Arabidopsis thaliana: one gene and its partners. The protein of the gene in region 2 binds, or shares a complex with, the protein of the main gene of each other region. Each region holds a gene or a part of one and is shown on either strand. Other genes may lie near its edges.

Region 1 (3,754 bases), on a different chromosome or scaffold from region 2:
AAACAAACCAGCAAAGGGATCGAAATCGTCATCGTCTTCAACATTAACAGATTTCTCTCTAACTTCTTCTTCTGCTGCTGCTGTTACTCCTTCTTCATCTTCCTCCTCCGTCTCCTCGTGAACCCTCCCATTATTAACCCTACCAATCGCCGCCTCCGTAACGTTACCACCGCCGCCAAAATCGCAGTTTCTACACTTGTTAGCCATCGACGTAGCGTAGAGACGCTCGACGATGTTATCTCTCCGACGTTTCAGTTCTTGACCATAGTCAAGAGACGCAACAAGAATCGCCGTATCGATAAATGTCCAAACATCAACACCTGCGTTATCCATAACCGATCGGAAATCATCCAAATCCATTATCACCCACACTCCTCCTTCTTCCCCAAATTTGGTTACTTAATAAAGAATTCAAAACGAAAAACAAAAAACAGAGCAAATCGAATTACGTAACCAGATCTAAAAGATGAATCTTTTGATGAATTTGATTCATCGGAGATTAAAAATCGTGAAGAACCAAACAAAGTTTAGATTTCAAATAGTTTAAAAGATAGACAAATAAAAAAAACAAAAAACAGAAGAATCAGATTGGTAAATTCAGATTAAAAAGGAAGACCCTTTACTGTTACGAGGAAGAAAGAAACAGAGGAGGTCGTCTCACATAAGATCAATAATGAGTAAATGGCAAATTAAAAAAAAAAAAGGGAATGAAGAAGAAAGGGAATATTCCAAATTTGAGGCTTTAGAATTTGGTTTGGAGGGTTATTGCTTTTTCTTTCATTCTTCTGCAAGTTTTTTTTTGTTTGGTCCGTTAATAAAAATAATATTCAGACAGAATCAATTAACAGTTTTAGGACAAAAGTAAAAGAAGAAAATGGGAATTGCTTTATTGAGGGATGATGCTCTTTGCCCTGGACAGAGCAAAGCTAAGCAAGTTGGTTTGTTGTGGTTGGGGAGATGAACAGCTCTAGAGAGAGAGAGAGAGAGATGTGAGTGTTTTTCTTTCAATAATGGCGTTTACTTTTTTTAGTTTTTCTTCAAGTGACGAGAAACATTTTACATGTTTCGACTTTTTTGGTTATTGGGCCTCTAAATTTTTGGCCCTATAGCAAGTGGACCCAATATGTCAAATCAATATTTTCATTTGGTCTCAAAGTGTTTGTTTCATGACTTTCATCTCATGAGCCACTGCCACTCACTAATCGTTTAGTGAATTTACGTCGACGGTACAATCAAAACCCCCAAAGAGAAGATCACATCCGAGTTTTTAGGTGTTGAAGGAGGTGTTCGATCCATCAAAGTTTACTTTGTTAGGAAGTAATGTTTATTTATCACTTGTTGAGTGTAGATTATGAATACAATGTCTTTTATGCAATTATTGGAACCTAATATTTATCTCGAACAATTTCGAGCAATTTTTGAAATCTTCAAATCCTTCTCATGTGAGCTATTATGATTTCTTCTGCAATAACATACCATGAACAATTTCGAGCAATTTTTGAATACAGATGTTTTAAATTTCTAATTGATTTGATTCCACACATTAAAACTACGCCATATCCAACATATACAGGCAAAGGTCTTCTGTAAAACTAAATAATGTGAAGCCCACCACCCAACGGATATCATTTTACTATGAAAGGCCCAATGAACATGTTGTTATTCAGTTTATAAATTAAAAATATTTCGGATCCAGATCCAAGCCCGGATATTTGCGGATAATTTGATTGTTGGGAGGATATCTTCCGGATCCGGATCCACCCTAAATTAAAATTGTTCTTCCTCCACTCTTCTTCAAGTTTGGCCTCCGTTTCCAGATTTTTATTCAATTCTTCTTAATCAACTTTTAAAATCCGGCGACTCATAGTCCGTGAATTTTGACCGGCATATCCGGTTTTGGTGTCGTCGGTAAATTCCTCTTCATTGCAGTGGAAGCTGGTTCATTGAGAAATAATGGTAACTCTTTTGGGATTATGAGACTTGTTTTCTTTTGCTTCTTGTTAAATCTATATAGCTTATAAAAACTTGTTTTCTGCAATTTGTGGTTCTTCGCAGGATGCATTTAGAGATGCTATATTGCAGCGAGCTCCAATTGAAACCTTTGCACTCAAGACTGTTCAACACTTTATACAACCTCAGGTAACTCTTTCGAATCAACTAACAATTTCTTCACTCCTTTAGTCTTACTTATTGTCTTTATTGTAAAATTTGACAGAAACAAACAAAGTTGGCTCAAGATGAAAACCAAATGCTTGAAAACATGCTCCGGACATTGCTGCAGGAGCTAGTGGTCTCTTCTTTCTCCACTATTATATTTTCGTGGTATGCGTATATACTTGTTCATTTATATATGTGTGGATTTCTCTTTCTGTTTTCGGGGTTTCAGGCTGCTGCTGCGCAATCAGGGGAGCAAATTATGCAGTATGGTCAGTTGATTGACGATGATGATGATGATGATGATATACATGGACAGATTCCTCATCTTCTAGGTTAGCAATCTCTCTAGTCTGATTTGCATAGTTCGTTCAAACAAGTGCTAGCGTTGTCCCCGTAAAACTTCTTATTCTCTTGTTGTCTATTGCTTATCATCTTGTCCTCACTACTTTTGTCTAACCTCTCACCATCTTCATGTTTTGATTGCTTTGTTAGATGTTGTGCTTTATCTTTGTGAGAAAGAGCATGTAGAAGGTGGCATGATATTCCAGCTGCTGGAGGATTTGACCGAAATGTCTACTATGAAAAACTGTAAAGATGTTTTCGGTTATATTGAAAGCAAACAAGATATATTGGGCAAGGTATTTCTTAAACGAAATCAAATTTTTTCTCGGTTAGTTGTATCTTGTATTTTGACTTGGATGTTGCAATTATTTGCAGCAAGAGCTTTTTGCACGCGGAAAACTTGTCATGTTGAGGACTTGCAACCAACTTCTCCGCCGACTCTCAAAGGTTCGCTATCTGCACCCTTTTCTAGTTCCCTTTGTCAAATATCCATAAGTCATAATCTACTTTTTCATATATAACACATCCACTCTTTTTTAATTCTTTTTTTTGCTTTCACTATTTGGCATACAGGCCAATGATGTTGTATTCTGTGGAAGGATTCTTATGTTTTTGGCTCACTTTTTTCCGTTATCTGAGCGCTCAGGTAAGAAGGGTTTCTCGTGCATATACGATTATTTGGTATGTGAATGTTTAAAAGGTGTGTAACGTTTACTTGCGTGACTTATTCTTTCAGCCGTCAATATAAAAGGTGTTTTTAATACATCTAATGAAACCAAATATGAAAAAGATCCTCCAAAAGGCAAGTGATTTTTTTTTTTCTTATGCTTTTGGTCCTTATCTCCATATGACAATTCTAAAACGTGTTACTTATTCTGTCTATGTCATTGCTTCTCAGGCATTTCTGTAGATTTCAACTTCTACAAGACATTTTGGAGTTTACAGGTGCGTATTAGTTAAAGGAACTTTGTAGGGAACGAATGTTATGCCTTTATCATAAGGGTTGTCTCATAGAACCTCTGTTTGCATATCATGCAAAATCAACATTACTGGAGATAGCATCTCAAATTTCCTTTTGTTAGTTAGTTTATTGAGATAGTTCTTTTCTTACTGAGAAAATTGTTTCGTTTCCAGGAGTATTTCTGTAATCCCGCTTCTCTTACTTCCGCATCTACCAAGTGGCAGAAATTTTCATCCAGTTTGGCGGTATGTGATCTTTGGTTTTTGACTAAATTGCATTACCTGGTCTTGTATA
Region 2 (3,754 bases):
CCAAGTCAAAAGCGGAACACTGTTTAATTTCTAATTTCTAAGCCGGTTCAAAAGCAAACCCGTCACGACGTAATTAATTTATAGTAAACCACCTCGGTTTAATTGAATCAACAGTTCAGCCTCGGTTTGGAGTAAAAAAGTACATTACCAAGAAATTGGTATTTCTTAACCGGTTATACAAACCATAATTTCTTAAACATCTGCATTTTACAATGATACAATCTTTCTTGCATCTGCAAATTTGAAAGAAACAATCTTTGTTTCTCAGTTCTTCTATCCGAATCACAGGTTTCAGTATACTGAGCTGCCGCAGTTTTGGTTAACATAGGCATATCAGAAACAGGAAACAGATGACAAAGCAAACGCTTGAAACATGATGCAGGTTTTATCGAGATTTGGACTTAATCAACAGACATAGCGTCGGTTATGTTCCTCTGATCTTCCGACGCTGACCGAATCTCGTCCACCAAACTCTTCTGCTCATCTTCCATTGTGTTCTGCAACTCATCCACCTACATTCCCAAAAACGTTCACAATCACAAACTCAAACTTCAAACATAGATCACGTAATGAAGACTGAAACGTAAAAGGTTCGGTTTTTTGACATTACCACATGCATCAGGAGAGCAAACTGCTTCTTCCTTAGCTCAAGCAATCTCCAACTTGCAGTGCTCTCTGCTTCAAGCTCAGCAATCTCCTTGTTCAATTCATATATAACCTTCTCTGTCTCTGACCTTGGCGGTTGCGCAGAAATCAGTTTCCTTATCGTCTCACACTCTTCTTTATGCTGTCTATCTATTTTACTCTCCTCAAGCTGCTTCTTTAGATCTTCAATCTCAGCTTTCGCCTGCATTATCTGCCTTTCCGTCTCATCTTTCACCTCATTAAAGCTCTCTTTCTCCCTAAGGTTTGCTTCCACAACCGCTTGGCTCTTCAGAAGCGGAATCTCGAAAGTTGACAGTTCCTGTAAAAAAGCTTTGGCAAGTCTACCGCAGTCGTTATAGTTCTCTTCTTCTTTATCCACCTCGAGTACAAAAGAAGTGAACTTCTTCTGAAGTTTCTTCAATGGAGGCTCGCCTCGAGTGGTCGTGGTTCGGGTTAGAAGCCGGTTTCTTATGATTTTGTCATCGTCAACAGGATCAAATGCATAATTAACCTTAGTTACTACAGTCTCTAATCTACCAGAAATTCTCCTTGCTTTAACTGACATCTCAACTTACTTAAAAACCTCTTAATTCAATCCTGCAAAGGCAATGCACAAACAAAGAACATTCAACAACCAAACAATCTTAACCTACAGAAATAAAGCTAAGGGATACATATTCAAGCTTGGATCTAAATAGCAGAACTGAAACATAAAGTATTACCATTTACGCAATAAATCTCTCGATTTCTTATTCTCTTCTTCAATTTCTCAATCAAACTTAAATAGATTTTCATGAGCATTCATCATCAAAATCTTAACTGTTATTTCATTGATTCGTAAGCAATTTCTCAATCGTACCATTCGAACACAATTTATGGTACAAAAAAAAGCAAAAGGTTAACTCTTTACTTACTTGAAGTGACCCCAGATCCAGATTCGTCTTCTGCTATCAAAAATTGAGCAAAACAGGTCCCTTTTGTTCAAATTTTGATGAACCCTAAAAATTGAGACAATTCATCTTCGTCCTCCCTTGTCTTTTTCTTTTTGGGTTAAATGCAACAAGTACTCTCAACTTATATTATATTACAAAATAGACCCTAAGTTATTAAAATATAATATATACCCACATTCTTTTTTTTTATACTCTAATGCCCTGTTAATTTTTTTTTACAAATAATTGTACAAAAGGCCCACAACTACAAACATAATCTAGTAATCGAGTATACACATGACACCAAATCTTACTTTCATAAAGTGTCACTCAAAAATTAAATTAAATTAAAATCTATTGAGATATAGAAATGTGTAGCAAGGAAATCAAAACCATAAAAGATAACTTAAAAAGACTCTAATTTTACGGGTCAAAAAATCACATGATTGAACAAGAATGTACATTTTCGTCGCTAAAAATCTGAGAGGGATAAGCATGTTGAGATGAATACTGAGGAGGGTAACTAAAGATTTTGTTTCCATCACTTTCTTCCTTCTTATTATTGTTCTTCTTATTATTGTCTTTGCCTTTCTCTGTAATTTGACTTAGAAGCTCTGCATGTTTCCCAAGTTTTTTCTTGATTTTCTCCACAAGTTTTGGAGGATCCATGACTCCTCGTACCACTACCGTTGACTTTGACCGGTCTGGTTCCACCGATTGAATGCCTTTTAATTTGTCAAAACAAACAAACATATTCTAAGTTGTTTTTTTTAACTTTCGATATCGTATTATTTCTATATGTATATACAAAGATTACCTTTTATTTTTTCAATGCCTCTTTTGATTTCATGAACACATCCTTCACAGTGCATGTTCATTCTTAAAATTGCAGTTTTGATCTCGGGAGCACTCTAAAATCATGCAAAAAATATTTAGAAATGATTAGATATGTTAGTTGTTATTCTCAGATTAATTAGACAAGGTATGATATAAATGAGAGTATATATCTAAGTTCTAACACGAAATAATTGGAAATAACTTACTTCTTTCTTTTGCTGTGGCTCCTTCTGATCTTGTTTAGGGTTATGTTTTGGGGAAATCATCTCAGCATTTCTACTAAATTTCTTTTGCACTCTTCGTAATATCTTCAACGGATCATCAAATTTTCCAGACACAACAACTTTATTGTCTCCTATCTCTGTCTTAATATGCTCAACCCCTATAAGACAAATAAGATAATAGCTACTTATGAGTCATGAGTAAGAAGAAAAAAACGGTAATCCTATTTTTTAATTGATGCTTTAAGAACTAGAGATTACTATTCGTTATGTCATTGTGGGAATTAATAGACAACTTCTCTAGATTACAGGAAAGAAAAATAAAACTGAAACCAGACTAGATAATGCTTAAGTTAAATTATAGTACAATTTCACTCAATGATAAATGATTAAATATTTGACATTGATTCTTATGATCGAGACCATATATATATGATTCCATTAAAGAGGGAAAGTAATCTAATAATGTTTCTTTTAATAGAGTATTACCATCATAGCCCCTCAAGCAATGAGAAACTTGTGATGCACATCCTTCACAGTGCATGTAAACCTTCAGAACAATTTCTTTACATTGATTTTTCTTATCAGACTTATCGACTGATGAATCTCCATTTTTCTGGTTCTTCTTTTCAGACTTGTTGTCTGATTCTCCATTTTGCTTGTTCTTTAGAACCAAATCCAAAACACAAAATATAAGTTCACATAATTTACTTAACAAATTACTGGAATTACCAAAGACAGGAATGCACATACCTTTCCCATATCAATGTTTACTCCTTTGTACGACAAGTGCAATGAAAAAGTTGAATAGTGAGACTCGATATATATAAGGTCAGAGAGGTTTTACGATCAATTAATTATTTCATTTGTAACATACATAAAATTATTTACTTCTCAATCTGGATGATCCTATTTGTTTACAATGAATAATAATTCTAATATTCACTAACAGGATTGATGACAAAGAGACAAATAATTTTGTAACGATCATTAGTAAATTAAATTTCAATCGGGACTTGTGTAACTTCTTATTCAGTGTCCAAATAAGTACACTATTCATTATTCCGATTTTCTAAAATCATGAATAGTTACAAATCTTCGAGCTTTATTTTCTTACTT
Region 3 (3,754 bases), on a different chromosome or scaffold from region 2:
CAAGAACTAACTGACTTACAAATATGAAAAACTTCTACTACTGTCAAAAGATGGGAAAAAACATACTGAGTGGTGTGACTCACACAAGCGTTAGCTTAGTCTTTTTCTGGGACCGTATTCTTTGCAGAACGGTTTGCACATTGCGGTGATCAGAAGCAGAAGCATAGCCTTTAGCTGTATCACTATATTGAATATCCTTGTCAGTAAAAAATGGTGACATTTCAGGTAAAGTCTCAATCCCCGCCAAATGTTGTGCCCACTTATATGGCCTCGAAGTTCTGCTTTTATCAAACACATGATCGTTGCCAAGAATGAGCTTGGCTGACTGTATAACCGTAAAGGAAGTGAGTATGACTGTTTTCAAGCAAACATATGTGAATGAATATCAAAAAGGAAAACCACATGTACCTGATGAGGAGGCTCAAGTCCAGAATCGTCTGGAAATAAGTTACATAGTATATTTTTCTCAAGTCCATCCTCAGACTCTTCAATGCCAACACATACAACATTCAACTTCAACAAGTACTCAAACTTGAGCATGACAAGTTCATGAGATTTCGGATCTGTAATCTCGTCATCATAAACATGAAGGACAACTTTAAGAGGATGAACTTGATATACTCCTCCCTCATCAGAACCCACTTTCTTGAGTCGTTTCCTTTGCCTTTCTTCATCAACACCAACCTCTAATCTTAGACTCTCTGTATTATTGAACATACATGTCATTTTAACGAGCACATAACTATTCCATTTTCAATTCTTATTTTAACTAAAGGTGTGAGAATTGCTAACCTGAGTTCTGTTCTGCTTGCTGCCGCGCATAAGTTTGAGCATCCTTAAGACTCCCAGATACCTCAACATCGATATTCTCTTCGAAAGCTTCCTTCAGTGCCATGAACTGCGAATATATAACATAAAGCGGCGGAGGAAGAAGCTCAGCTAGATTATGATACTTCAGCTTCTTCTGATTCTGCAAACTCAACTGGCTCTGTACTGGCAAAGATGCTTTCTTTAGAGATTTGAGATGCACTGGAAGACTTGACAGAAACTTGTTCCTCTCCGCATTACTTTCAAGTAAACTCTTCTTCTGTTGCTCCAACCTCACTCTAAGCTTGCATAGCTCTTTCCTCTGTGTATAACAAACTTAAACATTCAATCACTTTTGAATAAAAACTCCAACAATATCTAACACATGAACTTGGTCTAACGATTCGAGACAGAGATGTATAAAGCTTAACATTGAATCACATTGAATCAAGCTACTACAAGACCTTAAAGACATGAACTTTGAAATGAAATTTACCTGATGAAGCTCAAAATTGAGTCTTTTAAGCATCAAATCATGAGAACTATCATTTGATAACGTTTGAGATTTGATTGCTTCGGGAGCATCACTGAAGAAGTCTTGTTCGGATATGAGATCGATGTTTGGATACCTAGATTTGAAATCTCTACTAGCTTTATTAGCTTTGAGGTAATGACTCTTCTCATACATGAGATTGTGAAGCTCCAACGTCGTGAAATCCACCGGAGATTTTGCTATTTCCGTTTCTGTTCTCACTTTCTCTTCTTCTATAAGAATCGAGCGATTCGCTTGACGAAGATTGATGAAGTTGAGAAACATCTGAGTGAGGAGTTCTCGATTCTCGGATTTAGGGGTTCCTTGTTGCTTGATGGAGAGCATCTTTGCTATGATTGCTTCGACGGAGGCTTTGGTTTGTTGAAGTAGCTCTAGTGGTGATTTCTCCGCCGTGGCCACCGTGTCTATCGCCATCTCCGATTGCATAATTTACTTCCTCTGATCTCGCCGAGCTCGGAGAGAGGGTTTTAAAAGGGGAAAAATGTCAACAAAAAAAAAAGCCTGAGCTTTCAAATTTGGATAGAAAAGGCATGAACTTTGAAAATGTCATATTAATTATGAAGTTTTGATTGACTTCTCAGAAAAAAAGCTAACTTTCGTTGACTGGCCCGTTAAAGACATGCCGTTAAATTTCCGTTAACAGAATAATAACAGAGTTATCATTTCGTTAGAAACCCAAAACGACGTCGTTTTAAAATTTAAAATTAAACAGAAAAAATGACTACCACCTGAGCTCAAACATGAGACATGAGAATACTTTTACAAACATCCAAACCATTTAGACAAAATAACATCTTCGTATCAAATAACAAAAGTTTATATTTAATATTACATAATTAACAGAAACTAACAAAACTCTATTGTTGCGTGCCATAGCTTTGTATTTTTCTCAAGTTCACAAAACCCAATCGCATTTCAATTTTTATGTTGATTGTGAGATTTGCGATTCAGATCTGTGTTATCTTCGTCGAACATGAGCTTTAGATTGTGATCTAATGGATCTATATGTATTTTTTCTCAATTCCCTCAATTTTGAAACCAAATTATTAAAAAGGTTTGAGAAGATGAACAAAATTACAGTTTTGATACCTAAGAGCTGGTTAATGCTCAAACCACAACAAAGATCAATAAAACAAAAATCGCTCACTCCGATATCTGTCTAATGGAACGAAACCAAAACGCCGATGGAATCCTGTTTACGGAGAGAACTCCGATTCTAGGGATAGAGGAGATGAATGAGAAGACGAATAGTTGAGTATATATATACATTAGTGTTTGTCACTTTGACAAAATGTAATTGTGGGTCAATGGTTTATAATCTCGTAATGAGTTTCTCATGGTAACGGTTCCAATCTTGGCAAGGTTCATTTTTTCTGTTTAATTTTAAAATTTAAAACGACGTCGTTTTAAATTTCTAACGGAGTGATAACTCTGTTAACGAAAATTTAACGGCAAGCCTTTAACGGCTCGGTCAACGAAACTTAGCTATTTTTTTTGAGAAATTAACTAAAACTTCATGATTAATACGACATTTACAAAGTTCATGCTTTTTTCATCCCAAATTTGAAAGTTCAGGCTTTTTTTTGATATTTTTACCGTTTTCTTAGAACTAAGCCGGTCCGGTTTGGTTCGAAATTTTGATATTTCAATGTTCGGTTTGAAATCAACTTCACCTCATCAGACCGAAATTTGGTTCAGTTTATGGTATAAATAGTGCCGATTTGTAATCGAGTCGGTTATTAATTTAACAATTTCGGTTTAATTTGGTACATTTTTGATGGTTTTTAAAATAAATTTTCGTTAATTTTAGTTTGATAGTTCCAAACCGAACATAATCAAACCAATTAATTTTGATTGATTTTAGTTTTATAGTGCTGATTTTGGAATGGAAACCAAATTCGGTTCAGTTTCTGTTAAATTTGGTATGTTTAGGTACATTTCGGTCAACTTTAAAATAAAATTTCGATAATTTCGGTTTGGTAGTTCCGAACCGGACCGTTTATCAAAATCTATGCTTCTTCTTGCCGATATCTAATTAACCAATCCAAATCAAACTAGACAAATTTCGGTTTGGCTCGGTTTATATACCAAACGACAAAAACTACTAAAAACGGCGTCGGTTCAAATACCAAATTCCCATATAAGAAGAGGGGTCTATGGGGGGTTTTGATTCATACTCCTGAAAGAATGGGAAAGGTCAGAGGCGAAGTAGAAGAAGCAGAAGGTGAAGCTATTGAAGCTCTGGGTTCTCTCTTCAAGCTTACTCAAATCCATCTATGGTAATAAATAATCCTTTTTGACTTTTAAAAAATAAGATTAAGCTCTTTTGTTGACTTCTGATTCTCCTCTGTTTCAATTCCTCAGGGTCGATACAGATACTCCTCTCTTCCATCA

Evidence for each region.
Region 1: THO7 (region 2) and THO1 share a complex: the UniProt entries of both Arabidopsis thaliana proteins name them as parts of the THO complex.
Region 3: THO7 (region 2) and THO5 share a complex: the UniProt entries of both Arabidopsis thaliana proteins name them as parts of the THO complex.

The regions. Positions count from the first base shown.
Region 1 is NC_003076.8:3,064,862-3,068,615, forward strand, and holds the start of THO1 (nuclear matrix protein-like protein), read left to right. Parts: upstream 1-1,716; 5' UTR 1,717-1,953; coding exon 1,954-1,956; intron 1,957-2,055; coding exon 2,056-2,139; intron 2,140-2,215; coding exon 2,216-2,290; intron 2,291-2,386; coding exon 2,387-2,489; intron 2,490-2,649; coding exon 2,650-2,795; intron 2,796-2,874; coding exon 2,875-2,946; intron 2,947-3,072; coding exon 3,073-3,145; intron 3,146-3,235; coding exon 3,236-3,301; intron 3,302-3,397; coding exon 3,398-3,444; intron 3,445-3,633; coding exon 3,634-3,705; intron 3,706-3,754. Other genes in the region: AT5G09850 (Transcription elongation factor (TFIIS) family protein), read right to left, coding at 1-360. UniProt on the Arabidopsis thaliana protein: Acts as a component of the THO subcomplex of the TREX complex which is thought to couple mRNA transcription, processing and nuclear export. Contributes to the integrity of the endogenous trans-acting small interfering RNA (ta-siRNA) pathway.
Region 2 is NC_003074.8:665,230-668,983, forward strand, and holds the start of THO7 (Tho complex subunit 7/Mft1p), read right to left. Parts: upstream 1,694-3,754; 5' UTR 1,560-1,693; exon of another isoform or gene 1,368-1,559; intron 1,243-1,367; 5' UTR 1,211-1,242; coding exon 611-1,210; intron 513-610; coding exon 402-512; 3' UTR 1-401. Other genes in the region: AT3G02960 (Heavy metal transport/detoxification superfamily protein), read right to left, coding at 2,016-2,302, 2,395-2,488, 2,621-2,796, 3,125-3,299, 3,389-3,397. UniProt on the Arabidopsis thaliana protein: Acts as a component of the THO subcomplex of the TREX complex which is thought to couple mRNA transcription, processing and nuclear export.
Region 3 is NC_003070.9:17,150,988-17,154,741, reverse strand, and holds the start of THO5 (THO complex, subunit 5), read right to left. Parts: upstream 1,847-3,754; 5' UTR 1,787-1,846; coding exon 1,304-1,786; intron 1,130-1,303; coding exon 793-1,129; intron 702-792; coding exon 409-701; intron 326-408; coding exon 80-325; 3' UTR 1-79. Other genes in the region: AT1G45231 (S-adenosyl-L-methionine-dependent methyltransferases superfamily protein), read left to right, coding at 3,548-3,639, 3,725-3,754. UniProt on the Arabidopsis thaliana protein: Acts as a component of the THO subcomplex of the TREX complex which is thought to couple mRNA transcription, processing and nuclear export.